4 linked regions of the Drosophila melanogaster genome follow. The protein of the gene in region 2 interacts with the protein of the main gene of each other region in a pairwise test. Each region holds a gene or a part of one and is shown on either strand. Other genes may lie near its edges.

What was found.
Region 1: the proteins of Calr (region 2) and CG14204 interact in a two-hybrid assay, tested with the Drosophila melanogaster proteins (one large-scale study listed by BioGRID).
Region 3: the proteins of Calr (region 2) and Arpc2 interact in a two-hybrid assay, tested with the Drosophila melanogaster proteins (one large-scale study listed by BioGRID).
Region 4: the proteins of Calr (region 2) and l(2)k09848 interact in a two-hybrid assay, tested with the Drosophila melanogaster proteins (one large-scale study listed by BioGRID).

Annotation. Positions count from the first base shown.
Region 1 is NC_004354.4:19,581,653-19,589,377, forward strand, and holds CG14204 (uncharacterized protein), read left to right. Parts: upstream 1-1,964; 5' UTR 1,965-1,989; coding exon 1,990-2,287; intron 2,288-2,346; coding exon 2,347-2,719; intron 2,720-2,777; coding exon 2,778-2,851; intron 2,852-2,924; coding exon 2,925-3,240; intron 3,241-3,304; coding exon 3,305-3,521; intron 3,522-3,812; coding exon 3,813-3,994; intron 3,995-4,052; coding exon 4,053-4,524; intron 4,525-4,594; coding exon 4,595-4,894; 3' UTR 4,895-5,405; downstream 5,406-7,725. Other genes in the region: CG14218 (uncharacterized protein), read right to left, coding at 1-7; CG14219 (uncharacterized protein), read right to left, coding at 5,730-5,999, 6,060-6,510, 6,571-6,743, 6,803-7,019, 7,099-7,211, 7,270-7,472, 7,528-7,601, 7,679-7,725.
Region 2 is NT_033777.3:9,627,510-9,633,986, reverse strand, and holds Calr (calreticulin), read left to right. Parts: upstream 1-3,135; 5' UTR 3,136-3,221; coding exon 3,222-3,309; intron 3,310-3,433; coding exon 3,434-3,538; intron 3,539-3,546; exon of another isoform or gene 3,547-3,732; intron 3,733-3,806; coding exon 3,807-4,279; intron 4,280-4,371; coding exon 4,372-4,926; 3' UTR 4,927-5,296; downstream 5,297-6,477. Other genes in the region: SpdS (spermidine synthase), read right to left, coding at 881-1,610, 2,133-2,266; CG8319 (uncharacterized protein), read right to left, coding at 5,377-6,016, 6,078-6,477. UniProt on the Drosophila melanogaster protein: Molecular calcium-binding chaperone promoting folding, oligomeric assembly and quality control in the ER via the calreticulin/calnexin cycle.
Region 3 is NT_033779.5:20,414,209-20,424,058, forward strand, and holds Arpc2 (Actin-related protein 2/3 complex, subunit 2), read left to right. Parts: upstream 1-2,848; 5' UTR 2,849-3,385; coding exon 3,386-3,459; intron 3,460-4,139; exon of another isoform or gene 4,140-4,273; intron 4,274-4,314; exon of another isoform or gene 4,315-4,446; intron 4,447-4,461; exon of another isoform or gene 4,462-4,596; intron 4,597-4,625; exon of another isoform or gene 4,626-4,759; intron 4,760-4,788; exon of another isoform or gene 4,789-4,925; intron 4,926-4,936; exon of another isoform or gene 4,937-5,073; intron 5,074-5,094; exon of another isoform or gene 5,095-5,222; intron 5,223-5,247; exon of another isoform or gene 5,248-5,377; intron 5,378-5,417; exon of another isoform or gene 5,418-5,548; intron 5,549-5,565; exon of another isoform or gene 5,566-5,700; intron 5,701-5,723; exon of another isoform or gene 5,724-5,857; intron 5,858-6,110; coding exon 6,111-6,204; intron 6,205-6,281; coding exon 6,282-6,381; intron 6,382-6,439; coding exon 6,440-6,626; intron 6,627-6,688; coding exon 6,689-6,909; intron 6,910-6,942; exon of another isoform or gene 6,943-7,066; intron 7,067-7,095; exon of another isoform or gene 7,096-7,230; intron 7,231-7,266; exon of another isoform or gene 7,267-7,392; intron 7,393-7,408; and 13 more. Other genes in the region: CG10949 (uncharacterized protein), read right to left, coding at 1,060-1,898, 1,956-2,496; CG15130 (uncharacterized protein), read right to left, coding at 8,977-9,065. UniProt on the Drosophila melanogaster protein: Functions as actin-binding component of the Arp2/3 complex which is involved in regulation of actin polymerization and together with an activating nucleation-promoting factor (NPF) mediates the formation of branched actin networks.
Region 4 is NT_033778.4:6,072,685-6,078,938, reverse strand, and holds l(2)k09848 (lethal (2) k09848), read left to right. Parts: upstream 1-2,571; 5' UTR 2,572-2,680; coding exon 2,681-2,768; intron 2,769-2,824; coding exon 2,825-3,875; intron 3,876-3,938; coding exon 3,939-4,059; 3' UTR 4,060-4,468; downstream 4,469-6,254. Other genes in the region: SmydA-5 (SET and MYND domain containing, arthropod-specific, member 5), read left to right, coding at 1-89; CG7849 (uncharacterized protein), read right to left, coding at 906-1,516, 1,566-1,778, 1,834-1,963.

The sequences.
Region 1 (7,725 bases), on a different chromosome or scaffold from region 2:
TCCTCATCCTGACGGATCAAAGAGTATGTGTGTACCGCTCGAAAGGCCGTTCCAATCAGAACTGGCGCTGGTCAGCGCTGGAGTCGCCTGCCTGTACTCCAACGGAGTGGTGCCACGCGGGCCTGGGCGTCGCGGATTAAGTGCCCCCCCAAAGTCAACTAGTTAGACGGGTTAGCTGCGACCGTCCGCCTGGATCTCGTAATCGCAGACCCCGCCGACTGCCGGCGGTTATCAACGAGTTCAGTGCGTGGCAACAATTACTTTTGCACTACTTTTGCGCCAGTTTATAGATCGTAAGTGCAGCTCGAACTATGCATAATGCTTAGCGGCGAGTGCATTTTAAGAGGCTAAACAACACGCACCGTGGGACTAGAACTCCATATACCCACCTATATATATACCATACATACACATAGCATATACCATATAGTAGAGCTGCCTCCAACATAAGGGATTGATATACACAAGGGAACTAACTATCTGCAAGCTCATTAAGTATCTATACTATTTAGATTGTTCTGTGTCGAGTACGAATCTACATGTTTTAAAACCCTAACAAAATATCAATAATTCACAGATAAGTTTCCCATAAGATAGGGAAATCATTCATAGATTGCTTGTTTTATAATTGTAAACTCAAGTGGTTATATACCATATACAAACGTATGTATGTACATACTACCAATTTCACTTGAACTTGTGTCAAATCTCATTCCTCAAAACAGTTCAAATGTTCAACAATGAAGATTATCTGAATATTATAGGTGTATTCGATTGGGAAAGATTTTACGAACAGTGGGCGCTTACTAATTCGTTGACTAATTCGTCAAGTTTGTACCACTGTGCCGAAAAAGAGGGGCTGTCACGATTTGCTCTCATAATAATATGAATTTCAATTTCGGTTTGGCTGCGGCTGTTGCATTTGATTTTCAAGATATATTTAATCATTTCCAGAGTAATTAACAGCTTTTGGTTTTTCAAGCATTGGCGCAACTGGACAATGGTTAGCAACTCTCGTTTGCAATTCGCATTCGCATCGGAATTGGGTGAAAAACCAGTTTAGACCTTCGATTTTCCGAAAGTTTTGACCAAAGTTTTGACACTTGCTGCCTGAGTTCTGCATGTAAATTAGATTTTGACTGCTGTACCGGTTGTTCAGGTCTTTTCAAATAGGCAACTATGCATAATCTAATTTAAGTCATAGTTACTTATATACATATATAAAAGTACCATTCAAAACACTAACTTTCGCGTTGGCAATGCTGGGTATCTGATAGTCGGTTCGGTTGCATTTGGCGTTCCTTCTCGCTGTAACCTTGATGTATTGCTGTTGCATAACCAAAAAATGCGAATCTGGTCCAAAATTCATACGAAAACCAGTCGGTGCCACACCCCTCCACTTTTGGCTGGGAACCTAGACGAAAGTGAAAACTCGTTCGAATTTCCATTTTCCAGCAAAAGCTGGGAAAACCTGGAAAACACAGGATATCGAGAAATAAGTATTGCATGTCAAAATCAAAAACTGGACAAATCTCTGTCCCGAAAAATGTCGGAATTGCAGACACAAAAAAAAAAAAAAACGACAGACAACTGAGCAACAATTTGCTGAACATTTCGTTTGAATACCATTAGTCATGTTGTATGGAAAGCCAAATCGCCTTTTAATCAGCAGCTAAGTTAAGTTAAGTATTCTCGGGAAATTCGACAAGGTAGAGATGCTACCGAAACAGCCAAATCCAGCGGCTTATCTTTCCGGGTATTCATCCGAATCGCAATAGTATTAGCCACGTTAAGAGTTCGCTGCCCTGATTACCAAGGGTAGCTATGCCTCCGATTATTGGTAACTATTCTATTGTCGGAGGCGCAGATAATGAGATAATGAATTCTCGATTTCGAATGGGAAATGCACAGCAGGATTTGCCTGTGTATAAATGGGCCAGGGAAGGGTGATTCGCTAAACAGTCGTAAACTAGGAGCTCCAGGCGAAAGATGATCAAGCTATTGGCTATATTGCTTGCCATGGGAATGGCGATGGTCCAAGGAGCGCTGCCGACCCAACTATCAAATAATCAATGGACACAACACGATGTGTCCTCCATGGCGGATTACGAACGGCTCCTGGATCTGCGCTCCCTGGCAATGGAGTTCTATCGCGAATTTCGGAACATTTCAACGGCGGATGTGCATCTTCTGGGTGAGCGGATTGGATCACAAGATCTACAGTGCCTGGCCGATATGGCCCAGTTTATGAGTGCGCTTAGTGCGCCCAAGGCGTGGGCCCTAAAAAGTGGGTATTACAACATCTTCAACTTTGATGCCATTTGAGTTTATCCCTTCTATGCGAAGTGCTCGACGCGTGGGGCACCATTCCATCGGGATATCTCATTGGCAACCGCGTCGACATGGGCAACTACAGGGAGTGCCTGTCCGAGGGCGGAATGCTCACCTCATCGCAGGACATCCAGGGAAAGTACTGCTTCATGGAGCTGCCGGTTGCCAAGTGGTTGGGTTTCACTTCTGAGCTGCTGGCGGTGACCAACATAAGGACTGCTGTGTGCCTGCCTTCCTCTTGCTCGGCGGGCACCATGGAGCTGTTCCTCAAGCAACTGCTCAAGCGGCTGCTTGGCGTCAGTGATCCGACCAATTTGTTTTCCATCAGCGAGACGTCGTGCAGAATCAAGGAGAAAGCACCCTGGGATGGGCTCACCATATTCACAGTGTGAGTAGTGTCTTGATACATCCTAGCTGATCTATCCATACTAACTGACTACCATCAGCGTTCTACTGTCCGTATTTGGTGTCACGGTTATCCTGTGCACCCTCTACGACTACTTCTTGTGTCCGGAGCAGGGTAAGTAGCTGACATAAATCGGATAACAGCCTATATGTATGTATATGTACCATATATCCATGTCTACCCGCAGAAAAGCTACCCCGTCCCATCGGCGCCTTCTCAGCCCGTGCCACTTCGCGTTCGCTGTTCACCATTGTGGAGAACACGGCGAATCCGAATGTAATCCACTGTCTCAATGGCATGCGGTGCATGTCCCTGATCTGGGTAATCTTGAGCCATGAGTACATTATCAACATGAAGGGTCCCGCCATCAATCCAGCGGACAACCTGCGATGGGCGACGCAACTCTTCTCGAGCTTCATACTCTACGGTACCTTGTCGGTGGACACGTTCTTCTTCATCAGCGGCTTGCTGCTGGTTTCAATTGGCCTGCGAAGCATAGAAAAGTGAGTCAACTTGTACAGGGATTAATCCGATCTGTAGGCAGGCTAACATTCTCAATGGCTCCAGAAACAAGGGAAAGCTAAATGTGCCGCTGATGTATCTGCACCGATATCTGCGCCTCACTCCGATCGTAGCCGTTGCCATACTGGCATTCTACAAGATGATACCCCTCATCGCAGACGGCCCAATGTACGATGATATCGGCTTTTTCGACTACTCCGGGTGCAAGATGACCTGGTACTGGACTCTGCTCTACGTGCAGAACTACGCAACATCCGATGTGGTGAGTTGAATGTCCAAGTTGATCAGGAGAGGTGGACAAGCCCATCTAGTCCGTCCGTATCAGGATGGATCTGTATCAACCTTATATACCTTAGAAGTTACAATAATTAAAAGTGTTTAGTGGCTTTACTGCGAATAGGAGATCACTTCGATAGATGGCGCCTGCAGCACTAGAATTGATCGTTGGCGCCATCTATGTAAGTTCGGTGGTACCATTGCCATTGCAGTTGGAGCTCTTGACTATATCTGTATATTTATCTATCTAATTATTTGATTGTTGGTTGCTCCTTAGTGCGTGCCGCATACCTGGTACTTGGCGGTGGACATGCAACTGTACATCCTGTCCCCGATCCTGCTGATCGCCCTCTACAAGTGGGGCAAGAAGGCGGCCGGAGGTATCCTGGTGGTCACTTTGTTGCTCTCCGCCTGCCTGTTTGCCACCATAATGGTGAATGACTTCCCTGTGATGTTCAAGTAAGCCAGTCGCGCCCGCCGTTTTGTGTCCCCCAATGCTAATTGCAATTACTAACAGGAATGGAATTCAGGCTCAGGTGGTTCAGAGGAAGATCTACACCGCTACGCATACCCATGCGGCGCCCTGGTTGGTCGGTACTATGTTCGGTTATCTCCTGCACCTGATGCGCGGCCGAAGATTCAAGTTAAGCCTCCTGGCTACCTGGGCAGGCTGGCTGCTCTGCCTGGCCCCGCTCTTCACCTCGATCTTCGCCTTGTATCCGTACTCCAAGCTGCTGGGCAAATCGCCCTCAGTGTTGCAGGGAGCCCTCTACTATACACTGGTCCGGATCGCCTGGCCCCTCGGTCTCTGCTGGGTGGTCTTTGCGTGCATGCAGGGCTATGGTAGTCTGGCCAACAGCTTCCTCTCCTCTCCACTTTGGCAGCCGTTGTCCAAGCTCTCCTACGGCGCCTACATCTGGCACATCTTTGTCGTGGAAGTCGCCAATAGAAGCGTTCAGACCAATACGTACTTCTCCAACTATCAAGTGGTAAGTGTGTGGCAGGCAGGGTCACTCGACATTCCTATTGGACTTGAACGCTTCATTTCCAACTCCATAGATGCTCAACTTTTGGTCCACCTTTGGCTTTACCCTGCTGATGTCCTACGTGCTCTACGTTTTAATTGAGGCGCCTCTGGAGGCCTTGGAAAGAATTATGTTTCCCAATCGCAGAAGCCCGCCAGCAGCAAAGGATCAGCTGCATATCGAGTCCCGAACGGAAGTCGTGGACCAGATGGACCAGATGGATCACATGGACGGGATGGATCAGGTGGTGCAGCACGAGAAGCGCAGTGATATCCAGCCTGACCTGGAAACGAGTGCCAACAAAACAGAGACTGACCTCGAGTTATCAAATTAGACTTATCAGCTCCTATTTAGCCTTTATTAAAACGAACTACTTGTAATCTAGGCACAATTAACTTAACCACGGGTCTAGAGTTACGATGGAATGAATGGTCCTTGAGTTGAAAAGTCTTGCACTTAAGACGATATCAGTCGTTATCTGGTTGCGACTTTTGCGACCAGGTGGGTTTCGAATTAGTCATGAAGGTGATTCCCGACTTTGGCTTGCTGTAATGGGCACACAAAGATTTCAATTCTGACTCACAGAGGCGATGCACGCCCCATTCAGTTACAGAAAAAAAGAAAAGAAACACAAAAAAAAAACAGAAGGAACGACTTTGTCTAGTGTCTCGACTATCAGATATGTATGCACCAAAGCGTTTACAAGTTTTTCAGTTTGATAAGAGCCAAATCTGTTGATAATTTACATTCCATAGATTACGTATTTGTATTTGTATACTTGACTTCCCCACTTTGCTGACCATGTGTCTTGACTTTCATCTGCGTAGTGACGAAATGCTATGTTTATAGTCAGGAAATTGGAGAATTTGCTCTGATAAAACGATAAAATCAATCGATTGACAAACCAATCGAAACGTATTTATTAACATTTTAAACTTGTATTTTGGATGCTTAAAGTGGGCGGGGCCAACATGTTGTGGGCAGATCGACAGAAATGGGCAAGCCAAATAATAAAAGTAGGCGTATCTGCGTTCATATGGATGGACATGGAAGTATCGACTCGTCCAGTGATTCTGATCAAGAATATCGGAATCGCTTACCGTACAATGAATTTCGAACACAGTTTTAATACTTTACGTAACGCATGAAATCATATATTTTAAATGTAATTATACTAAAACGTTGCTCTTTTCGGGAGCAGCCTGAATAACTTCGTCGGGTATCGTGGATATCGCTTCCGCAGGCTTACCTACTGGAGATTCTTCGACTGATGCCTTCACCTCCGACATCCTGGGCTCCACCACCGCGGCCGGCTTGGCATTTGGCCTCTTTGCGGGCAGCAAAAGGCTTTCCAGACCGGCGAATGGCGCTTCGATTAGGATATGCATGAGGTACGAGAACAGAATCGTAAAGCCAAAGTCCGTCCAGAATCGAAGCATCTGGAGATAGGGGGATTCTTAGAATGGTCAACTCCGCGTACAAGGGAACATGGTACCTACCACTTGATAGTCACTAAAGTAGGTACTTGTGTGCGTGATTCCACCGTTCAAGCTCTCGATGAACATGTGAAAGATGTAGGCGGAATAGGATAGCCTGGACAGCGGCTGCCACAGGGGAGAGGATAGCAAGCTGTTGGCCAGTCCTCCGTAACCGTGCATGCAGGCGAAAACCACCCAGCAGAGACCAAGGGGCCAGGCGATCCTGGTTAGGCTTACGTAGAAGGCCTCCTCCACAATGGGCAACGTGTTCTGACCATAGATCGAAAACAGGCAGCTGGCTATCAGTGACAACGCAATCAGCCATCCCAGGAGGACAGCCAGGCGGTTCAGCTTGAAATCCTTGCCCCGGTTGGTATGAAGAAAGTAGCCGAACAGTATGCCAATCAGGTAGGGAGAAGCACGAGTCTGTGTGGCATAGTAGAGCTTCCTCATCGAATCACCGCCGCTTCCTCTGCAAATAAGAGAATTGTTCTGAATATCTTACATATAAGTATCCCTAACATCCACTTACAGCGATAAATCATTGATGACCATGATGCTAAAAAGACAGCCGGCCAGCAGGAGCATCAGAACAAAGATTCCGGCAGCCGCCTTCTTGCCCCACTTGTACAGGCAGATCAGGAGGAATGGTGCAAAGATGTACAGCTGCATGTCCACCGCCAGGTACCAGGAATGACTTAGGCACTGCGAGAAACCGTGGGTGATATAAGGTGATACAAAATGTCGTCATCGAAGGACCCTACCAGGCTATCAGTCGCATAGTTCTGCACATAGAGTAGTGTCCAGTACCAGGTGCTCTCACATGCTGAGTAGTCATCAAAGCTTATTGATCCTTTAAGTGGCCCGCTTTCCCACAGCGGCAGGATCTTCATGTAGAAGAGTATGGCAATGGCCAGGATGGGCGTGAGTCGCAGATACCGATGCAAATACATTAGGGGTATATTCAGCTTTCCCTTGGTTCTGGACGGAGTAACAACACAATGTAAGTGAGTAATTGAGTAATTCAAATGATATCCCTATCATTCAAGTCACAACTCACCTATCCATTGATCGCAGGGCAATCACCACGAGCAACAGACCGCTCAGGAAGAAAAATGAGTCCACCGCATAGACCGCATGTTTTACAAACAGACTGTAGAATGAGTTGATCCACTAAATAATGGGTAATTATATAGAACTTTTACGTTTTTCTTTTACTCGCCCAACTTACCGTCAGAAGGTAACCCATATTAATGTTGGGCGACGTGGCAAGCACCATATAGTCATGACCGTAGACCACCCAGATGAAGGAAAGGCATCGGATCCCATGAAGACAATCGATGACGTTGGGATTCGCCTTGGTGTCCACAATGCGGAATAGGGCACGCGAGTTAGCTCGTGCCGAGAAGGCTTCTACCACTGGATGGATGGTTTCTACAAGCACGGACGATTACTACGGATTCAAGGATCGCATTCGCGAAGAACTCACTCTCATCTTTGCAAAAGAAATAATCGAAAATAGTGCAGACGCCCACTATAGCACCCAAGATCGAAACGATCACTCTGAAAGTTTACGTGTTAACCAAATCTTAGACCATCGTCGCATCCATCATCTCTTTATGATTATGATCTCTACTTACATGGTGAATATGGCGAGGCCATCGTACGGTTTCTTCACTGCGGTCTG
Region 2 (6,477 bases):
TTATTTAGACAAAATTATTATACTTGAATTAGGAATTTTTATAGGTTTATTCAAATTTACCCAGTCAAAGGAGTGGAGTATTCGTACACACACAATAATTAGTTTATCCATCTATTTCGAAAAATGTGAAATAGTTCTCAATTGGACACAAAATGATTCGACTTTTTCGAAAACTGGAGCTCGGCTACCAAAATCGCAATGCACATACATTATATTTATTACACATAAAAACACGCACATTAGACACCAAAATCTATCCGACACAAAAGAAATGATAATTAACTTTAGAATAGGCGAGAAAATAAAAACCAATATTAAATGATTGTACATATTTTACATCTAATTTTGTAATTATGTATCAATTGCGTTTCCTAACTATAACAATATTTAATTAGTCATTAAACAGGTTGAAGATTTAATTTCTATTAAGTTATTGAAATTGAATATCAGTTTTTAGTTAATTATTCACATGCAGTTAAGGTCATTTTTGCATATAAGAAACGCTTCCTTTCAAAGTTTTGCAATATATGCGATATATAAATGAGAGTAACATTCGGTCGTGTAAAATATTGCAATAAGTCTCATTATGTTAACCCAGCATCCACTTACAAATACAAAAATTAAATAGAGCCAACTGTATATATCATTACGTAATAAACATTACAATTTGTTCTATTTTCAACAGTAAAATAACTGAAAGATGGTAGTCGGATTGGAAGGAAAATACTCAGGCTACAAAAATTCGACTAAAAATGAATCATTGCAAGAGTCAGCATTTGTTGAAAATATCCAAGAATTTAAGAAGCGATGATAAACAAGTCATATTATTATCATATTTATTTTTAACAAACAGATACACACGAATCTTTCCGCAACCTGGTCATTCGTAAAAGTGCTTCTGCACCCATCGAGGCAAGGCAAAGGCGGCGGAGTGAACCTCGGAGGAGTAGTACCTTAGGTCTATAGAATCGATTTCGGACTTTCCAAGCTTGGGAGTAGCGAAGTCCTGGTTTTTGTTCAGGGAGCCCATGACGAAGCCAATGTGGCCGCAGGGATAGGACGGAACGGAGGTGACGGCATAGGCCACCTTAGCAAAGTGCTCCTTGCAGCCGGACATGGTCTTCTTGATGTAGTCCAGGTCCAGCCAGAAGCTACCGCCCTGGGAGCACACGATTCCGTCATCCTTCAGCGCGTGTTTCATTAGCTCGTAGTAGCTTTCCTGAAACAGGCTCACTGCCGGACCAATGGGATCCGAGCTGTCGGTGATGATGACATCAAATTCGTTCTTGTGTTTCTTCATATAGTCGAATCCATCGCCAATGGTAAGCTTCAACTTCTCGTTGGCGAAACCACAGGCCATCGCTGGGAGATATTGCTTGGACAGCTCGACGACACGGTCGTCGATTTCCACCTGATGCACTTCCTCGACCAGTGGATGCTTTACCACCTCGCGAGCAACGCCGCCATCGCCACCGCCCACGATCAGGACCTTTTTGGGATTGGGATGGGCGCAGAGCGGCAGGAAAGATATCATCTCCTGGTACGAGAACTCATCCCTGGCCGTGCACTGAATGATTCCGTCCAGAATTAGGCACCGTCCATAGGTTTCGCTGTAATAGAATTATCGAATTATTGATTTTTTCAGCGGCGCAAGTGTACCCAATGTTCGACTGGAGGAACTCAAACCTGAAAGACGAGCTGACTTGCTATCAGTATTCTGTCTGTCGTTTTTGGCCCTAGATGACTCCATCGATAAGGCTGTTGGTGCAGATCAAGAATAAACACACGAAAACCAAAGGGTCCGAAAATGCTGGCTGGGCAATTTGTGTTTGAACAACCAGTGGAAAATTTTCGATTTCTACAATCTATGATTTAGGGACCTTCAATGTAGGATACATATGGGATTAGGCTATTGTAGGTTAGTCCTTAAAATCTCAACAGCTTAAGCTGTTAAAAATTTCGGATTTGTGTGACTTGCGTGTTTATAATGATTTTAATTTAGTTTTTTAATCTCAATCTAAGCTAATTTATTTTGACATCTATCTTCAAACTTCAGTCTAGACTGAGGAATTTCGGATGTAAACAAATGGGGTTGTGTGTCCAAGTATTTGTTTATCTATTATTTATCTTACGTTTCAACGATCTGGATGTCTTGGAACCGGGACTTCTCCTTGTGGATGACCTCCTTGACTTTCAGGGAGAATGACTGACCGGGCCAGAGATCGGCCTGCAGTTCGCTGAACCATCCGTTGTTAAGGGAATCCATTTGTTTAATGCCGCATTCGAATCGGCGTTTGATAAGATTGGCTCAACACGTGGGCTCGACACGAACTTACCGTATCTGCCACAAAGCTAGGTCTTAAAAAATACCTTAGAAGGTCTATTGGTATAAATACCAAAGCTTTTTTGTTTTAATTAATTTAATTTCACTTTTCTATTTCTGGCTATTTATCTTTTTTATTAATATAATACATTTCCAGCGAAAATTGTAATTTTTTAATGTAATAAAGTCAAATGTAAAAGTTAGCACTTATAGATAAAAAAGTTCCTAAAATTAACGAAATACAGGTGCAAAGTTTTGGAATTCCTTTATTTGTTTTTGATTTGTATTATAATGTATAATTAACATTCTAACTTTTTAAATACTATGAACTTTATCGGGTGAAAACTTAATTGTTAACATGTGATGTAAGTGTGAGTTAAAATTTTCAAAACCCTTAAGCCGTTAAAAAGCTTAGGAATGTTCTGGAAGCACAACTGTTCTTCCTGTAACTACTACAATTGTTAAGTAGTAGAAGAATTGTTATTGGAGTAATTTTATGTTTTCTTAGCTTAGCCTGCTGCAAGTGATTAATTGTATGCCAGAATATATTAATTTTATATATTTTATAATTTAATTTAATTAGCAAACGGTCACTTTAGTGTTTCTAATTCCAGCTCAAGCAATCGATAGCGACAGGGCAGCATGCGATTGCTTATCGAAATCAGCCCTGGCCGGTGAAAAAGAATACGTAGACATCCCTGATTGGCCTGATTTGGGCCAATGAAAACGTTCCAGCAAACCAATTTCAGTAACAAGCCGTCCCGCTCCGACACGCACGATTTAGATGCAATAAATAAATAGCACTTTCTTGCCGGCATTTAGTACTTAACTTTAACCGAGTTCGGACAACCATCGGAGTTGGAAGAGTCAGTCCAAAAAGTGGTGCGGGATCGTTCACATGATGTGGTGCAAAACAGTGATAGTGTTGCTGGCGACAGTCGGCTTTATTAGTGCCGAGGTTTATCTGAAGGAGAATTTCGACAACGGTAAGTGGTAGTCATCGCGTTCTATGGCCGCCATGTGGTCCTCCGCTCCCCTTCAATGAATAACGAAAGGAGAGACAATAAAAATAGAAGAATAATAAAAGCACTCCCCCGCTTGTTCCCGTAGAAAACTGGGAGGATACGTGGATCTACAGCAAACATCCTGGCAAGGAGTTCGGAAAATTCGTCCTCACCCCCGGTACCTTCTACAACGATGCTGAGGCCGACAAAGGTAGCGTATATGTGTCGATGTGTCGTCACTCCCTTTTCCAAATCTTTCTCTTCGCTCGTTCTGCCATTTTTATTTTTCGTCGGCGTGTTATCTGCATTTGTATGTGCCCGTGTATGCGGAGAACATGGGCACGAAGAAGAAGAGGAAGAAGAAGAAAAACCACTACGTGTACGTTTTCGAGTAGCTATAGTAACTGTATACACATTTTTTCTCGCCCCCCACCTCCGCGCGGCGCGCATTCGTATTGATGTGGACACACATTATATAGGCATTCAGACCTCTCAGGATGCTCGATTCTACGCGGCCAGCCGCAAGTTTGATGGCTTCTCCAACGAGGACAAGCCCCTCGTGGTGCAGTTCTCCGTGAAGCACGAGCAGAATATCGACTGCGGCGGCGGCTATGTGAAGCTGTTCGACTGCTCCCTCGACCAGACCGACATGCACGGCGAGTCGCCGTACGAGATCATGTTCGGCCCGGACATCTGCGGACCCGGCACCAAGAAGGTCCATGTGATCTTCAGCTACAAGGGCAAGAACCACCTAATCAGCAAAGACATCCGCTGCAAAGATGACGTGTACACCCACTTCTACACGCTGATTGTCAGACCCGACAACACGTACGAGGTGCTCATCGACAACGAGAAGGTGGAGTCTGGCAACCTGGAGGACGACTGGGACTTCCTGGCCCCCAAGAAGATCAAGGATCCCACCGCCACCAAGCCCGAAGACTGGGACGATAGGGTAAGTTGTAAATCCCCGCCCAAATCAGACTTTAGCCCATCGAAAAACCGGTTTGGCTCATTGTTATTAAACAACAACGTAAATCTCTGTAGGCCACCATTCCCGATCCCGATGACAAGAAGCCCGAGGACTGGGACAAACCAGAGCACATTCCCGACCCAGATGCCACAAAGCCTGAGGATTGGGACGATGAGATGGACGGCGAGTGGGAGCCACCGATGATCGACAACCCTGAGTTCAAGGGCGAGTGGCAGCCAAAGCAGCTGGACAACCCCAACTACAAGGGCGCCTGGGAGCATCCCGAGATCGCCAATCCCGAGTATGTGCCCGACGACAAGCTGTATCTGCGCAAGGAGATCTGCACCCTGGGCTTCGATCTCTGGCAGGTCAAGTCCGGCACTATCTTCGACAACGTCCTGATCACGGACGACGTGGAGCTGGCCGCTAAGGCTGCTGCCGAAGTCAAGAACACCCAGGCGGGCGAGAAGAAAATGAAGGAGGCCCAGGATGAGGTGCAGCGCAAGAAGGACGAGGAGGAGGCGAAAAAGGCTTCCGACAAGGACGATGAGGACGAGGATGATGACGATGAGGAGAAGGATGATGAATCTAAGCAAGACAAAGATCAAAGCGAACACGACGAATTGTAAGGACGTCTAGGGAAAATTACGTCGAGAAATATTCGGTATTTTTTGTGTGTTGGTAGCTGCTTTGATGTTCTAAGCAAACGGAAACCACAATTACAATTTGTAAGACTTATAATTTATAAACATACAACTTGTTGTTTTTTTCCATTGCTCTTTTCGAGCGATTTAAGGGTTGTTTAGCTTGTTTATCAAAATGGTGGTGCCACGTGAACAAATCACGGCCGAATGGCAACGCTGTCTATATCGTCGTGTCTACATCGAATTTTGATTTACAGAAAAACGGTGTTGCCACTCCAAATGGTTTTCAAAGTGCTGTTCGAATTCTACGAAAATATAAATCCTAAATTCAATTAAATCCCAATATGAACTATAGAAACAATGAGATATAAACATAACCGAATCCTAATTTATTTATTCGAGTAAGCCGTGGTATTTGGTCAAGAATTTAAGGTATCACTTTAGCTTTAGCTTTTGATCTCCATCCCGATGCTTGCCCAGAAAGTGCCGCTTCAGATGATGTTTCTCCCGGAAGTCCTGCAGGCAGATGGAACACTTGTAGGGCCGTTCATCCGAGTGGCGTCGTCGGTGCTTCGCCAGGTTATTGTTGTCCGAAAAAGTCTTGGGGCAGTGGGGGCATTGGTAGGGCTTCTCGCCCGTGTGTATGCGGATGTGGACCTTAAGGGCCTGCTTGGAACGGAAGTTGGACACGCAGAAGGGACAGGCATGCGGCCGTTCGCCCATGTGCGCATGGATGTGCACCTTGAGGGCCGACTTGTTGAAGAATCCCGTTTGGCAGTATGAACATTTGTGGGGTCCGTTTCCCTGTTTCGATTCCGCGTGGATCAACAGGTGCGCCTTGAGGTTTTGTTCGCGAGTAAAGGCCTGCTGACAGTGGGGGCACTGAAAGGGCGAACGCTCCTGCATATCCTTGCATTTGTGGCTGTCCAGGCTCTGGGTGCTTGAAAAGACCTTTAAGCATTCCGGGCACTCGACGGTGGAATTGCTATTGCGATAACATTGGTGGTTATCCAGATCGGCCTTGAACAGAAAACGCTCTTCGCAGTTTTGGCATACGTGTGAATTGCTGTGAACCCTGTGGAATGAGATATACAATTTTAAGAACAGGTGAAATCATATGTATTGATTGTAATTACTTCATGTGGTCCAGGAGGTTTATTTGGCGCTTGAACTGTTTGATGCATAGTTCGCATTTGAAAGTCTGATTCTTTATACTCCTTAGCTGTCTGCCAGCTCTACTGGTTGTTATGGAAGACTTGGTTGTTCTGGAAGCTGTTTGATGTGTCTTTTTAATTTCCTTGTTGAGTTTCTTCTTTGCTTCCAGATTGCCTTTGTCTGGGTTCTCAATGAATAGGAAATCCTCCTCGTTGGGCTCGTCCTTGATGACCTGCCCATTTAATATCGCCAAATAGAACTTCTTGTAGTTCTCTTCGCATCTTCGCTTGAATCCGTAAGCAGTTCGTGCATCGTGGACACAGGAAATGCACATTTTTTGGGGCATAGCGTCGTCGGGATCCAACTGCACGTCGGCACATG
Region 3 (9,850 bases), on a different chromosome or scaffold from region 2:
TTAGGTTATGAGACGCTTTCTTCTTCATGTATCATTCTTTCTAATGAGTCTAGTTTAGCCTGGTAACTCTACGAGTAGATGGAATAGCTGATCCCAACTGACACTACTTGTCTGGATGCACTTACCTGTGTGTCAACAAAGAATGCATCTAGTGCGTCTAAAAGCAGCCAAAAGGACCACCTGGGTGCCGCCTCCAATGCCGATGATCGAGCTAATGGCCGCCAAGGCATGGAGCGATGACATGGGGTTCGGTCTAACGAGGAGGATGGACGGCAGGTGTCACAGCGACGGGCGCACTCTCTTCATCCATCCGCTTGGGCCGCACCACTCGACGCGGGGAATCCGGATCCCGGCCAGAACTTCAAACGCTTGCCGCGCACTTCGTTTATTTACACAAGAAACAAGTTTATGCCCGAGAAGAACCATTCGCAGGCACTTAGCAGGCGCTCGCGTTTATTATCTTAATAATAATTTCAGAGTTCAGGCGGCGCTCTTTGACGCACAACTAGGGATTCCTGCTCGCATGAGAATGGGATTTGGATCGGTATCTCTGGGTCCCGACCAACTGCACCGTGCGAACCGGAGGCGGCAACTAAGCGAATCGAGAATCTGTTGGCACTCGCGCTTCCCAAGAGCCAAGTGCACGCCAAGCGATTTGTTTATCCATCTGCTGCGTACGCGCGAATTTGTTCGTTATTAATTGCAATAAATGGTGTCGGCGTGGGCGCTTTTATTTATTTCTGTTTTTTGTTTTTGGTCGGTATGAAATGTTTGTTTCTAATTTTCGCGTAACCGAAATATTTGAATAATTCAGCGCCCTCTGGTGGCGGGTAGCGTTTGATGGCGATGGTTGTGGTTACGCATTTCAATGCTTTTCAGCACTGGTAATTTAAACAACTCAATTTGAAATCTACAAATATTCAAACCTTTCTTTTTCAATATTGCCTTTTGAGCCACAATATTTAGTAAGTTTATTTATTTACAGATATTTTCATGCTTACACTTATGTAATAACCCTTCTTCGTAATACTTTTGCAGCTAATCTACAACATTCTAATTTCAGTTAATGACCTGACAAGGTGCCACATCCTCGATCTCCTCGCCATCGAGGGCTTTGATTTGGCACTGGCACAGGAACTGCACGATCTTACGCTCGGCACTTGCCCGCTCAGACGGACTCAGTCCGTCCAGCAGCATCTGAGCCTTGGCAAGCAGGCTGTTGGCAGGCTGTGTACTTCGCTGTTCTCGCTCCTGCTCCTGTTCGTGGTGAATCTGGGCCTGCAGCTCCCGGGATTGCTGAAGCACGGTCTCCATGTTGGCAATCACGGTGGTCAACAGTTTGTCGGAGATGGCGGCAGACGGTACAGAGTCCCCAGGGAGAGAGGAGGACTCCTCTACGACGGGATTTACCCTGGCGATTGTGTGAATTATTTCCTCACTGGTGGCCGGCGTGGTGGTGGTCACCTGGAGCTGCTGTGGTGGCTCCAAGTCCTGCCGTGCCGTCGCTTCGCTGAGGATAAAATCGTACGGCGTTGCTTGCTCCGCCTCCGATAGTATCTCAATCTCTTCATCGTAGGCCAACTCAAGATCATCCTCCAGATCGTCGTTGTCCGTACTGTAGGGGTAATCAGCGCCCCAGATTTGCTCACCACTGGAGATCACCATTCCCTCCGGCTGTTTGCTGGTCTTTCCCGAAGGATTTCCTGCTTTGGGTGGTCGTCCACGTCGCTTGATGTTCTCCAAAACCAGGGGCACTCCTTTGCGGAAGTGGCGGCCCAGAAAGAGAAGGTCGTTAAAGTACCTCCACGTGATGGGCGTGGACTGGTTGATCTGATGACTGCGGAACTCCCGCCCGAAACGATCACGCAGCTTCTTCCAGCGGTTGTAGCAAAGTTCCTCTATTGAAAATTATCGGCATTAAGGGCTGAAGATCAAGAGGGTTACCCCGAGCTCACCCGACACATTTAGGTTTTCAGAAATCTCTCGCCAGGCTTCGTTTTTCGCTGCTAGGTTCTTGGAGACTCTGATCTTGTGACGATCATACAGCACGGGATGAGACTTGACCAGCTCAATGAGCTGCTCGTTCAGCAGGTCATCCTGGGAGTCCTCCTCCTCCTCGTCCTTTCTCCGCCTCTCCTGCTCCATGTCCACTTTTGTGCGCTTTTTCCGCTCCCTGGGCTCAAAACGCATCCCGTCGAGACTCTCGTTCCTTGCCAGTCCCTGTTTGTAGTGATCCTTGAGAAAGAGCAGTCGCGGAAACATGTCCCAGTAGGTGGGCTCATCCGGACGCTCCTGGAAACGGCGAAACTCCTTGCCGAAACGATCGCGAATGCTCTTCCAGCGCGTAATGCACGCCCGTTCCGAGGCTCCTAACTTCTGGGAGATGGCCTTCCAGGCCGCGTCCTTTTGCGCCGCATTCTTCACGCTCCTCGCGCAGTCCTTGTCGTACAGGATCGGGTGTCTCTCTATCAATTTAATCAGCTCATCGTCGTCCATTGATTTTCGCTATTATTTGTTTTTATTTATTCTGAACGATCCGGCAGCCTGGCGGGAAATATTGATAGTCGATAGGCGATGGGTCATCGCACAAAAAGGGCTGCCAGATTATTCTGTTAAAAAAATGTGCCTCTTAGTTTTATAGCACCGTTATTATAACAATGTTAAATAAAATATTTGTGTGTTTGTCTTAAAATGTCTTAATACATATTTATAATTTAAAGTTCGTGTGTACGAATTTCGTTTAAAATATATTCTATTTTATATATTTTAAAGAAAATTCTCTTTATGTTTGTTAAAATCTGCTGGTTTGAATTTCTGTGTAACCTGATAACATTGATGGTCGATAGCTCGATACTTCAATCTTTCCATCGGTGAGTTTGCCCCATCTCTATTGTGCTACCTGGCAACGCTGTGAGCAAGGAAAATACGGCAGCGTGCTCCCCGTTTTCCATCCACGTTTTGTTATAATTTTATAAGTATTACGGTCTGAGACCGATTTTGCACTGCATCGTGCGCGCTGCAAGTACTGGCGATTGGAAATTGGAGGCGCGAAAAGAGGATAAGGTGGATTTTCTTGCAACTGTGTGTGTGAGCATTGGAATTCGCCCGTGTGTGTGGCGAGAGTGCGTCCATGTGTGTGTGACGGACCAAAAAAGCCGACATCAGCGCCCATTTTTTGTTGTTGATTCATTAATACGCCCGTCATGCACCAGTATTGGTGAGTTGGAGCAGCGCACCGTCTTACTCGCACTCAACGGAGCGCAGAAAGAGCGCAGGGAGCGGCAGAAGAAGAAGCAGCGAGCAGCAGCACCATTAGCGGCAGTCAACGTCATATAATTTGTCATCGAAATTGGCACACTAAAAATAACAGTTAACTTCAACCGCCATGATCCTGCTGGAAATCAATAATCGGATTATCGAGGAGACGCTGCTGGTCAAATACCGTAATGCCCAGGCTGGGTAAGTCAATGCCTTCCAGTCCCGTTTCCCCAATTTCCATTCCACCATTTTGATTTCTATGCTGCATTCCCCACCGTTCTGTTATCACCAGTCGGCTTTGTTATCAATTTCGTTAGCTCTCTCTTTCCTCGGGAATAAATTTGGGTGTAGTTCCAGCCTTGGAACACTCATCGCTGCAGCTCTCTCCCTCCCACACACGTACCCAAGTACAGTGCAGCCCCCTTACGTCGACAGCGTATTAGTTAATTCATTACAACTCGCTATTCGCATCATCGGTGCTGAAAATCTGCAAAACTGACTCATCCATTGACGTGCATTCAAACGCATACGCTTGTGATGATCGAAAATATTAGTATTTATTTGTTCCTAATCCCGAAAAAGGATATTATTATTGAAGAAACATTATCAAAGGAGTCGTGTTACGAAAGAAATATGTTTAAGCTAAACGGTTTAGAAGAAGCTTAGACGAAGCTTACAGACTAACAAAATTATTAAAATTAGTAAAATAACTTATTGTACTAACAGCACTATCAGCAGAAAGAGGTATTTGTGTTTGGTAGCGAATGATTAAGATCTCACATAAATAAATGTATTTAAATGCTAATAGTTATGATGCCATTAGTTTATTCCCGATAAGATTGCAGTGTAATGCCTGAAATTAAGGCAATAAAAGTTATAAATTGTGGAACAAAAGTGGCATACTTGGAAAAAATCTCCTGTTGTGTCTCAAATGTTCCAAAATAAACCAAAAGGACGAACGGCATCCTGAATAATCAATCATATTATAGCAGATGACTTGTGTTCGTGTACATAAAAACTAATAGTTTCAATATTACTCCCCTATTATCTGTATTCTTGGGAGACAAAGTTTACATGCTAAAGATTCTCCATTTTCCGTGTCTACAACGCTCCGATATAAATTGTAACGCTTAAATCATCTTGAGTAATTCTTTTTGTTTCTTAAGATAAATACTTTCGTGTACATTATTGCAAATTTTAGGCTTTGGAGCCAAAGTGGCATTCTTCAAAAACAATATTTGATCTGTGTCTCAAAAGCTCCAACATTAACTAGAAAGACGAACGGCATCCTGAATAATCAATCATATTATAACAGATGACTTGTGTTCGTGTACATTTGCCATAAAATGTTCAACTTTTGTAATATTCTGGAGTCAAAGTGGCACGTCTTACGATCTTCCTGTAACTTGTGTCTCAAATGCTCCAATATCAAACGAAAGGACGAACGGCATCCTGAATAATCAATCATATTATAGCAGATGACTTGTGTTCGACTACAATAGTATTCGATTTATTAGACCAATAATGCCTCGGGAGACAAAGTTTACATGTTGAAGATGATGTGGCTTCTTTTTCGTGTCTACAATGCTCCAAAATAAATTGTTCGTTTAAATCGTCTTATTCGATTTATTTTATTGCCTAAGATGGTTGCCAACTGCACAACAACTAATTAAATATTTGGGTGGAGTTAAAGTGGCATATTTTATAGCTTTCCTTTGATCTGTGTCTCTATCGCTCCAATATCAATTTTATAAGCGAACGGCATCCTGTTTAATTACTTATATTAAGACAGACGACTTGTGTTCGTGCACAACTTCAAAATGCTTCAATAGTCATATGGAGAAAAAGTTTACATGCTAAAGTATTTTTCTTTTCCGTGTCTACAATGCTCCAATATTAATTGAACGTCTAAATCATCTTGGATATAATTATATTTCCATAGATAAATACATTCGTTCACAATACATTCGTTGTTCATATGAAAATGGATTGGAGTCAAAGTGGCACACTTAATCCATTTTTATTTGTGTCTCAAATGCTCCAATATCAAATGCAAAGGCGAACGGCATCCTGAATAATTATGCATATTATAACAGATGACTTGTGTTCGCCTACAATAGCTCCTGATAGCTTTACATTCCTTTATAAGACTCCCGTCTTCGGAGACAAAGTTTACATGCTAAGGATAAGATCTTTTTCGTGTCTACAATGCTCCAAGAGCAAATGTTCGTTTAAATCATCCTTGGCATTCAATATTTTTGCTGTGGATGCATTTAATTCGTGCACATATTTATAGATATGTATGTCGTGGAGGTAAAGTGGCATTCTCGGGATATATAAACCTGCCTGTGTCTCAAACACTCCCAAATCAACTTGGTTGGCGAACGGCATCCTGAGTAATTAATAATATTACATCAGATGACTTGAGTTCGCGCACAATCGCTTTAAGATCGCAAAGTACGATTTAGGAGCCAAAGTGGCATGCCTTGGAACTTTTATCCAATTTGTGTCTCTAATGCTCCGATACTAATTATACAAACGAACGGCATCCTGTTTGATCCTACATATCACAATAGATGACTTGAGTTCGTGTACATTATTCAGAAATATTTGTTTAGTTCTTGTAATTGAATTAAACTAAATTTAGATATCGGCTTAGCGATCCAGATACAAATACATACGGATGTTTTAATTTATTCGAAAACGCAAAATATAATTTTATTGCTGCTGGTTTCTTTTGGAAAAATAATCGGGTATAAACGAGTTTATGTGATAAGATACGGTGGAGTGTGGGGAGCATGACTAATAAGCAAGAAAATAAATGAGAATTTACTTTTTAATTCTCTTTCCAGACTGAAGCCTGAATCGATAGACATACGAATAGCAGACTTCGACGGCGTCCTTTATCACATTTCCAATGTGAATGGCGATAAAACAAAAGTTCGGGTAAGTGTACCGCGTACTATTCATTTAGGATAAATCCAACATTAACGATTTCTCACTTTTCTTGGGCTGCGAAACAGATCAGCATATCGCTGAAGTTCTACAAACAGCTGCAAGAACATGGAGCCGACGAGTTGCTGAAGCGTGAATATGGCAGTCTGCTTACAGACACGGAAGAAGGTACGTTCGTGTTTAAGTTCGGCATTTAAAGAAGTTAATTACTCTCGTCTAATTGCAGGCTACAATGTTTCCGTACTTATCAACCTGGAGGAGATTCCCGAGGACTGCGAGCAAATCGCAAAGAGAATCGGACTGCTGAAGCGCAACTGTTTCGCATCGGTTTTTGAAAAGTATTTTGACTATCAGGAGCAGGGCGAAGAGGGCCAAAAGCGTGCCGTCATTAACTACCGCAACGATGAGACTTTGTAAGTCAGAAAAATATGTTTTTGACTCGTCCAAGCGCTGACAATCTACAATCGATTTGCAGATATGTGGAAGCCAAGCCTGATCGTGTCACCGTCGTCTTTAGTACCATTTTCCGGGACGAAGACGATGTCATTATCGGCAAAGTATTTATGCAGGAATTGAGGGAAGGTCGGCGTGCCTCGCACACCGCACCACAAGTGCTCTTTTCGCACCGAGAACCACCATTGGAATTGGCCAACACGGACGCTAGGGTGGGCGACAACATTGGCTATGTCACATTCGGTATGTTAAAGGTTGAATGGTAAACCATGTGCTGTGGAGCCAAAGTTTACACGTTAAAGTGCATTTGTCTTTTCCATGTCTACAAGGCTCCATATAAATAGTATCGTTAAAATCATCTTGAACATTCTAGTTTATAAATATATCCAATGATAAATACTTCCGCGCACAATAATGCATTAAAGTCACCTGTGGAGTCAAAGTGGCATGTTTTAAATTACAATTTGAATTGTGTCTCAAATGCTCCAATATCAACAAGATATGCGAACGGCATCCTGAATAATCAATCATATTATAGCAGATGACTTGTGTTTGTGTACAGTAACACACCAACCCAGAATCCCCAAGCTGAATTGTTCAGTGGAGACAAAGTTTACATTTTAACAGTATTATCGTTTTTATGTCTACAATGCTCCGAAATCAATATCCGATCCAATTATCCAAAGCAGTCTTATATTTCCTTGGATGATTTCTTTCGTTACAAAAATGTCAGTATATTCCATATGGAGTTAAAGTGGCATATTTTTAATACTTACCCTAAATCTGTGTCTCTAAAGCTCCAATATTAAATAAATAGACAATCGGCATCCTGAATAATCAATCATATTATAGCAGATGACTTGTGTTTGTGTACAGTAAAAGAATATCTTAGACTGCCTTTTTTAAATGGAGACAAAGTTTACATGTTAACAATATTATCGTTTTCGTGTCTACAATGCTCCAAAATCAATATATTCGATCGAATCATCCGAAGCAGTCTTATATTTCCTTGGATGATTTCTTTGGTGCACAGTGCACAGCTAATGTAATCCCAATGGAGTTAAAGTGGCATATTTTGTATACCTTCCTTCAATTTGTGTCTCTAATGCTCCAATATTAAATAAGTAGACGAACGGCATCCTGAATAATCAATCATATTATCGCAGATGACTTGTGTTTGTGTACAGTACTTCTTAGAATTGAACCGATGTTACACTTTGAAATATCCAAAAGAAACAAAATAGTAACGACTCATACTTGTTTTTTGCAGTACTCTTCCCTCGGCATACCAACAAAGAAACAAGGGACAATACCATTAACTTAATTCACATGTTCCGAGATTACTTGCACTACCACATTAAGGTAAGTGTTGTATGCAGCTATGCAAAAATATCTTTTATATATTTGAAATATGCATTTTTGAGCAGTGTTCAAAGGCTTACATTCATTCGCGCATGCGAGCAAAAACCTCGGATTTCCTCAAGGTGCTAAATCGTGCAAGGCCAGAGCCCAAAAACACGGAGAAGAAAACTATAACGTGAGCATTGGACTTTCCATAACGAATTCTGATTACTAACTCGTGTTCTTTTTGCAGGGGGAGAACTTTCAAGCGCATCGATTGATGTGTTCAGTATATTTAGTTGTTTTTATATAAATACAAAAAATAAATTGTGTATTAAAATTCGATATCCGAATGGTGAATCCAACATAAACTAAACCAGATTGCAAGACAAACCCAAGTATTCCAAACAGAACCGTAAGGCTAAATGTAAGCTCAGCAAAATAATGATCAAAGAATTAATAGTTACGCGTTAGTAAATGAATTGTGTGTGTTTGTGTCGAGTCATCGTCAAATCCGTGTCTCCGCCAATTTGTTACAGTCATAGGCCGAGTCAGCGCCACAGCTGAGCCGCATTTTAAACAAATAAACGTAGACTTAAGTGCAACATGAGAACTAAAACTACCATGTCAAAGCGAGCAACACGACTAAGGGATGCCACCAACTTGTTATATAGTCGCAATGGAGGATTCATCCCCGCAATTAGCCTGTATGTGTAGAAAGCGCATTTAAAAACGTACTGCAAATATTAACAAACCTTTGATACAGCAATCGGAATTAATAAAAACGAGAAAATCAAACTGCAATGTAAAATAAAAAAAGGGACACTCTTTTAATCTCTAGCTAGCTGCAGACGCTCGAATACACTTTATTTTCTAGCTTATTAGCTTTTAATTGCACATAATGTCTTAAATGTTACTAATATTTCGCTTAGGTATACCATCTCCGCTGCACAATACTATAACAGGCACTTAGATCTTAAACTTAACATTCTGCTTCGCGTTCATGCTCTCCATGCTGACCTGGAAGTTGAGATAGTCGCTCTGGATGCGGGCACACACTGAAAGAAATGTGTTGGGTAAACTAAGTTGGGACTGAGGAGCGCTTTGACTGTTACTATTGAGATGTGCTACTTACTTACAGTGGCAGTGTTCATTGCGATAGAGAGTTTACTGCTTAAGTACTTCCGATAGTTTGTACAGGGTGCGGGTGAATTTACAGAGCCCCTAGGGATCATCGTACTGTTCCAATTTGATATAAGCAAGTGCTGTGATAGAGAAGCGGCAGGGCGAGATGGATAGAATAAGTGAGTAAATCGCTTAACACTGGGAAAAATTCGTTCCAAGCATGCGAAGAGTTCTCATAAATTTGGAACAAGTCCAAAACTCAAGAAGATACTGACTTGAAATGCAATTTTGATTATTATTCTATTAGAAGAAGATAACTGAGAGTGAATATTTTGAATTTGAAATATTTTAAAATAACGTAACAATATTAAAAAACCATTTCAGTCGAAATTAAATTGATTACTGGTGGGATAACTGAAGATCAAAGTTTTGTATCGCAAGCTACTACTTTTCCGTTTATGTTATTTTAAGCCCCTTTTTATAAATTTGCTATCAAGATTGGAAAACAGAAGTGCTTTTCGTCCAATTGTGGTTCGGAACTTATCTTAAATGGTTGTAATGCCATAAAATACTACAATTAACAAGTTATTTAGACACCTAATTATTCAGCTGACTAGCATCTCTCTATAAGAAATCCCTTCACATTCAAAAACTTCAGAAAGAATTTTTCTCAGTGTGAGGTAACTAGCGTGCGACAAGAGGAGTCAGCTGGAGGAGT
Region 4 (6,254 bases), on a different chromosome or scaffold from region 2:
ACGAAAAATTGCAGATGGAAATCTTCGAGTGCGAAAAACTAATTTTAGCTCTTGCCTATAATCAAGATCACGAAGCCAATACAAAATAATTTTCTAGATCGGCGAAAGTGGTACAAGTGAACATTTTGAACACCGGATGCTGTTAGGTGCTGTTAAAACAAATCACACTTTGTTAAAATCCAATGAAGCGCCGTTCAAAAGAAATTGTAAAACGAGACTAGGAATCTTTTCAAAATACACATTTTTGTTGGGTTGCTTATAAAAACTATAAGATATATATAAAATAAGATTTTAAAATAAAAACATGTGCGCTATTTTTGATTCTTTGGAAAAATCCGCTAGATAACCGGGAAAACAGCTATAAATATCTATTTCCTACTGAACCTAAATGTCTTTGTAGAGCTATAATTATATAGCTTATTTTCAAATTTTACCTATTTCTCTTTAAATTACCAACTGCGTGACCATTGAAATTCACAAGGTTTGGTATATGACACATTTCCTGAAAAAAATCACTTCTTAATGATATTGAGCACCGAAGAAATTAGTTTACATAATTTGGAACAACTGACCCTTCGATGGGTCGAGGTTATCAACTATAGCAATCTCCCTTGTTTTTAGAATTAATTCAAAAAAAATTTGTGAAATGTATGGTTTTTGGCTACCGCTTCTAATAAGATCACGTTTTAAACATCTTACTTTTACTAAACTAGAGTCTTACGTTTTTTTTTTATAAATGACCTATTTTGAACTGTAACCGTCAATAAACTATGCTGACTTAAATAAGCAGATATTCTGCATATTCTTATCAAAAATTATTACCAGAATTATTGACCTGATTGACTGCTTTATAGTTTATCTGCCTATATTTATTTGACTATATTCAATTACAATGAATTCCTAAATTAATCTGTAGCTCGCAGTTCCACTCGCTGTTGTCGCAGAAGCTGTGGATGCGCCCTCAGGATGTCACGTTGTTGACGGAGGTTCTTGATAATTCCTGGCAAGTGCCAGGCGTGTCTGAGCAGACTATCTGTCACATCAAAATGGGCATGCCGCACGCAGCGTAGTTGGGAGCAGTGCGCCACGGTTCGGAGGTCCAAAGCCATATCGTGCACTAGCGTAGCTAAGTACTCCTGCGTCTCGTTGATGGCGTGCAGTTCCAGGGTGAAGTGCGGTCGATCGAAGTGAATCAGCTTAATGCCGTAGACGACGGGCTGACTGTCGTCCGCTGGGCGTAGGAGACCCCTACAGGCCAGTTCATAGGCCTCCTGGGTCTGCAAATCGACACCGCAGAGCTCAAACATCTTACGCTGATGGGATGCCTGCATGGAGGCGGCTAGACTGCTGATCCTGTCTGCGGACACGTGTCGGTGATTGGAGCGCATTATGACCCGTGAGTCTGGTAGGTTATTTTCGGTTGCGATGCCTAGGTGCCCGATTAGATGGTAGACCCGCACTGGTCGATTTTTCCGAATAGAACTAGACTGGCCTGCTCCCCTGTTGATCCCAAAGACTACAAAAGTATGGTTAGATCTGGATTTAAAATGTTTTACATGACTTACGCAGGACTCCGCTGGTGTGATCGCCCAGGCTGGACACTGTGGTGCAGATCAAGTCTCGCGGAAGGTACCGCGGTCCGGTGGACAGAAGGTGGTCGGATAGATCCGTCTGCTCTCCTATGTTATGTAGTACGTGATCTGCTGCAGTGCCTGTGCCCAGGAGGCTAATGTTCTCTTGCAACTTGCGTGGTTTCCTCTGCTCCATTTCGTTGAGTCCTTTTGCAGATCTGTTTTTAATTTCAATTTGTTCTTTAAATGGCGCTAGGCTTACCCTTGCAAATGTTGCTCAGAATAGCATTGCGCACGTGTTTCACCTTCATACCGGATGGCTTGTACACATTTAGAATGCCATTCATGTGCTTAAACACTGTGGCGGCATCATAAACTTTGGTGAGAGCCATTTCTGCTTTAAGTTACGTATGTGCGCTATTTGTTTTTAAATTCACATGACAGTGTTGGTGAACACACACGAACAGCTGAGCACATGTGCTGCCCAGTACTGAATAGGGTATAGACATGCACTTGAAACTTAATTTATAAAATTTACATATAAAATGTTGTTTTCAAATATCTCTTTAATTTTCTAAAAAAAAGTTTAGTTGGAAATAATTCTCAAAACGTTGTGGTCTTTATACCCGCAAAAAAACATGCTTGTATCACTGCAAAACAAGAATTAAGTCCACCGCACGAAAAAACAAGAAACAAATCCGATTGGGCTAAAATTTTCTATAAATTTTACAAATTTCACGGGAATATTCTCACTGTGGCTTGCATACTATTTGCTTGCATTTAAAATGACAACAAAACTGCACTTAAAGAAGTTATAATCAAATAAAGTCTTATGCGTATCACTATATTCTCACAAGAGAAGTGGTTTTCAACGAAAAAAATGTTTTAAACTGGTAAACAGCAAACTGAAGCCTAGTGACTACCCTAAATGTTATTAAAATATCGGTGGCCGTTAGATATCGATATAAACGATAACATCGATTATTAAGCATATGTCTTTTACATCTCTATTGCACGTGTAGGATTTGTTTTGACCGCACGAATTTGTATAGCCGCATACCATTAATTCACGTTTTAATCGCAAGTATTGAGAGAAACCGCGTCTTGAGATGAAGTGGACTACTGCAAATACCAAACATGTAAACTACACGGCGAAGCACGAACTGTATGTGGGAACACACACGGGCTCCTTTAAACGTACGTCCGCTTGTTCTTTATCGAACAGCATAATAATAATGACTTCAACTTTTTAGACCTGGTGCCTGCATCCGAGAAGACCCCTTATGGACAAAGCAACCTGAGTGATCTGTGCGCCCTGGATAAGGATTCCCGCGTCACATCTCTGGCCTTTGGCAACGACGATCAGACGGAGATCCTTCTAGGCCGGGCCAAGGACGCCGTGGAGATTCACTCCTTCACAGAAAAGGGACATTCTAGGAACACAGTATCCTTCAATGCTGCGCCAATTGTTGGTCTGGCCCGATACAATGACAAGCTTATTGCCGGCATTGGCAACGGAGAGATACAGAGCCTGGAGCTAGAGGCGAACGACGAGTCCGAGCCCGTGGTTATCGCCACGGGTGACCAAATGGACCACCTGCGCCAGTGCGCCCAAGTCAAAAGCATTGTAGCAACTGGCGGCAAAGAGCGTCAAAACAATCTAAAGGTCTACGATTTAAATGCCGACGGTAAGCAGATTTTCACCTCGAAGAATTTGCCCAACGACTATCTGCAGCTAGAGGTTCCGGTTTGGGACAGCGATATCGGCTTTGTGGATGGGCCTAGTGTACTGGCCACTTGCTCGCGAACCGGCTATGTTCGCATCTATGACACGCGTAAGCAGCGTCGACCTGTTGCATGTTTTGCCAGCGAGGAGCACGGGATGAGTTTTACGACTTTAGTGGCAAAGGGAAACTTTATTTACACGGGTACCACAATGGGTGCTCTAAAAGCCTTTGACACTCGACGCATGAAAACTCATGTGCATACGTACAAGGGATTCACAGGCGGGATAAGTGACCTTCATTTAGATGCCACCGGTCGCTTTCTGAGCTCTGCAAGCCTAGACCGATACGTTCGTATCCATGATTCCGAAACCACAGTGCTGCTCTACCAATGCTACGTGAAATCAAAGGCCACTAAGATTCTTATCCGACCGTTTGAAAACGAGGCACGAGTAACAGAAGAACCTGAGGAGGTCGCTGACCTTCAAATGGATAGAAACGTGAGTGAAAATAAGAGCGTCAACGCAACATCTGTGGACAATGAATACGAGGATATGTTTGATCAGATGCCCACTGTGGGGTAAGTTTAACTACATATTGAGTGATTTAATAATACGCTAAAATCTTATATTTTGGCCAACAGTGACAGCGATAATGAGTCCGAGGAAGAGATGTCTAATATTAAGCTTTCAAAGGCCGATCTAAAAAGAAGATCGTCGGAAAAGTCTTTAAAAAACAAAAAGAAAAAAGTTGTGATTAGTTAAAGCGACATGTATTTACGTATAAGAATATTAAAGAAAAAATAGTATAGATTTCGGTGGTTTTTATATTAAAGAACTAACAAACATGGCATCGTAGGTAGACACAGAGCTGTTTTAAAAAAGTTTCGTTGCATATTACATTCTGAACTGACTGTCGAGCAAGGGAACATGAGGTGCGTGCAAGTACTTAAAATAAATTATATTGTAAAGATGGAAGCAACAAACGTCGACTGCGATTATAGTGTTTTACCCCCAGCATAAAAATGGATTCGTGGCCTTCCTGTCATTTTTTCAATGAAGTGTTGGGTCTGTAAAAACATTGCAGCTTCTGCAGTCTAAGATAAGGTGTTGTTTATTTCCTATTTCTAAAAACATAATTCTCAAAAATGTTGGCTTTGGGGGACAGTAATGTAGGAGGCAACCTCATTTAAAGAGACGACTCTTGCGGTTCACCCTTTCTTTTATTTATGTTATGTGGAGTCGTGGTTTAGTGGCATTTTAATGGGCTTATAGTATAAGTATCTTATCCCTACTAGAGGAGTATCTTACATATGTTTAAATATTTATTTACACTAGATAGATGTACGGCAACGGAGAAAAATTAATATTGTAGCCATCAATAGTTTGGTATTATTCATCTTAAGTAAGCTTCTGTAAAAATCGTTTTGGCCACATAATATGAGATACACATAATATCATGTGTGTAGTATCTGAAGACATATATACATATGTTTGCCTATAAACTCATATTTCTCATAAACTAGAATTAAATGTTTTCCTGAAAAATGCAATATAGATTATTATAAATGCGTTATAATAATAATATTTCCCACTCGTTTCTAGATAAACAACGGCTTTGTTTTAAAAATTTAAAAGTATAAGAAAATAAAGCCAGAGCTCCTGAATTCATAATATGTTAAACAACAATGCTCATTATTTTGAGTTTAGGAACATAGTTGAAATTTTAATTCCATCAGATGTTCAATTTAAAATTTAATGTTTAAATGAACATTGCAGCTACTCGACCCGAAAAGCCAGAAAATTGCCCAGCAACGGAGACATTAAATCGAAGTTGGAGTCGCGAGATGGCATATTTTTGAATTTGGAGTGATAATTCCTTACCTAAATTAAAGCATGAGCTTTGAGCTCTGCCAAGTCCTAAAATTTCATTTGAACTACATCAGACTAAAAACTTTTAATTTCTTTTTCGAGCTAAAAGTCGAGCAGGTTAATACTAAGATACCAGCCAGCCAACTTCGAAGCGGTTTCTAACGCGAACACGCGTCCTGATTCGATAAGGCAACTCCCATCTTCCAACCCCGGCTGGACGGCCTTCACGGCATGCACACGCACTCGGAATGGTGATGCCGAATTTCGTCCTGGTATCATCTTTGGCATCTTTTTGGGAAACTGGTTCGGCGTGACGCAAGCATAGGTCGCGTGCTGATTGAAACTTGGATGTCAGTGGAAAACCTGGCCGACGAAAAACGATGGGGCGACTAACACTACCAGAGCTCCGCAATCTTTTAGCTTAAATTTTAATTTCATCCTTACGTTGCCCCCCACCTCCACCTCCATCAACGGTTAGTGGGCACCTTTTAGTTTTTCCGTCGGTTTTGCTTATCCAGATACGCGCCACGAAACTTTTGTTTGCCGACAAATAATTTGGCTCGGGAAGTTGGCGCCTCGCTCTGGTTACCATCGTCGAAATTTCAGCGAGTGAGCTTTGACAGCCCCCAAAAGTTGGACATGGGCTGACAATGTTTGCCGGAGCAGAGCTCGGAATTTTTAATGCAAGAGCAAGCTTCAGCGCTCGTGATAATGTTGCAATTTGCAAATAGCTTATAAATCGGGCTAAAAGTTGCAGGGCCAGATTTGGCGATAGAGAAGTTAACTCGCAACTATTTCCCAATCGCTTGTTTGCTTGCTCATTATTATGCCAACAAGGTCCTTGTGCCCGTAGAACCATCCGCCTAATGGTAAGTCAATAAGTGAACCCCGAAACAATGGAATCAACCGATCCCAAGATGGATGTTTGCTCATTTGGACAGCATTGGACACGTCCTTGAATCCCCTTGGCCTGGAGTGTCAGCTGTCCGCGGCCATAAAAACGAGCTGCGCGTTATTTGCATACTCATTGAATGGTGAACGCCGCAACGAGCCTTATTACGATTGGAACACAATAAGAAGTGGCCCAT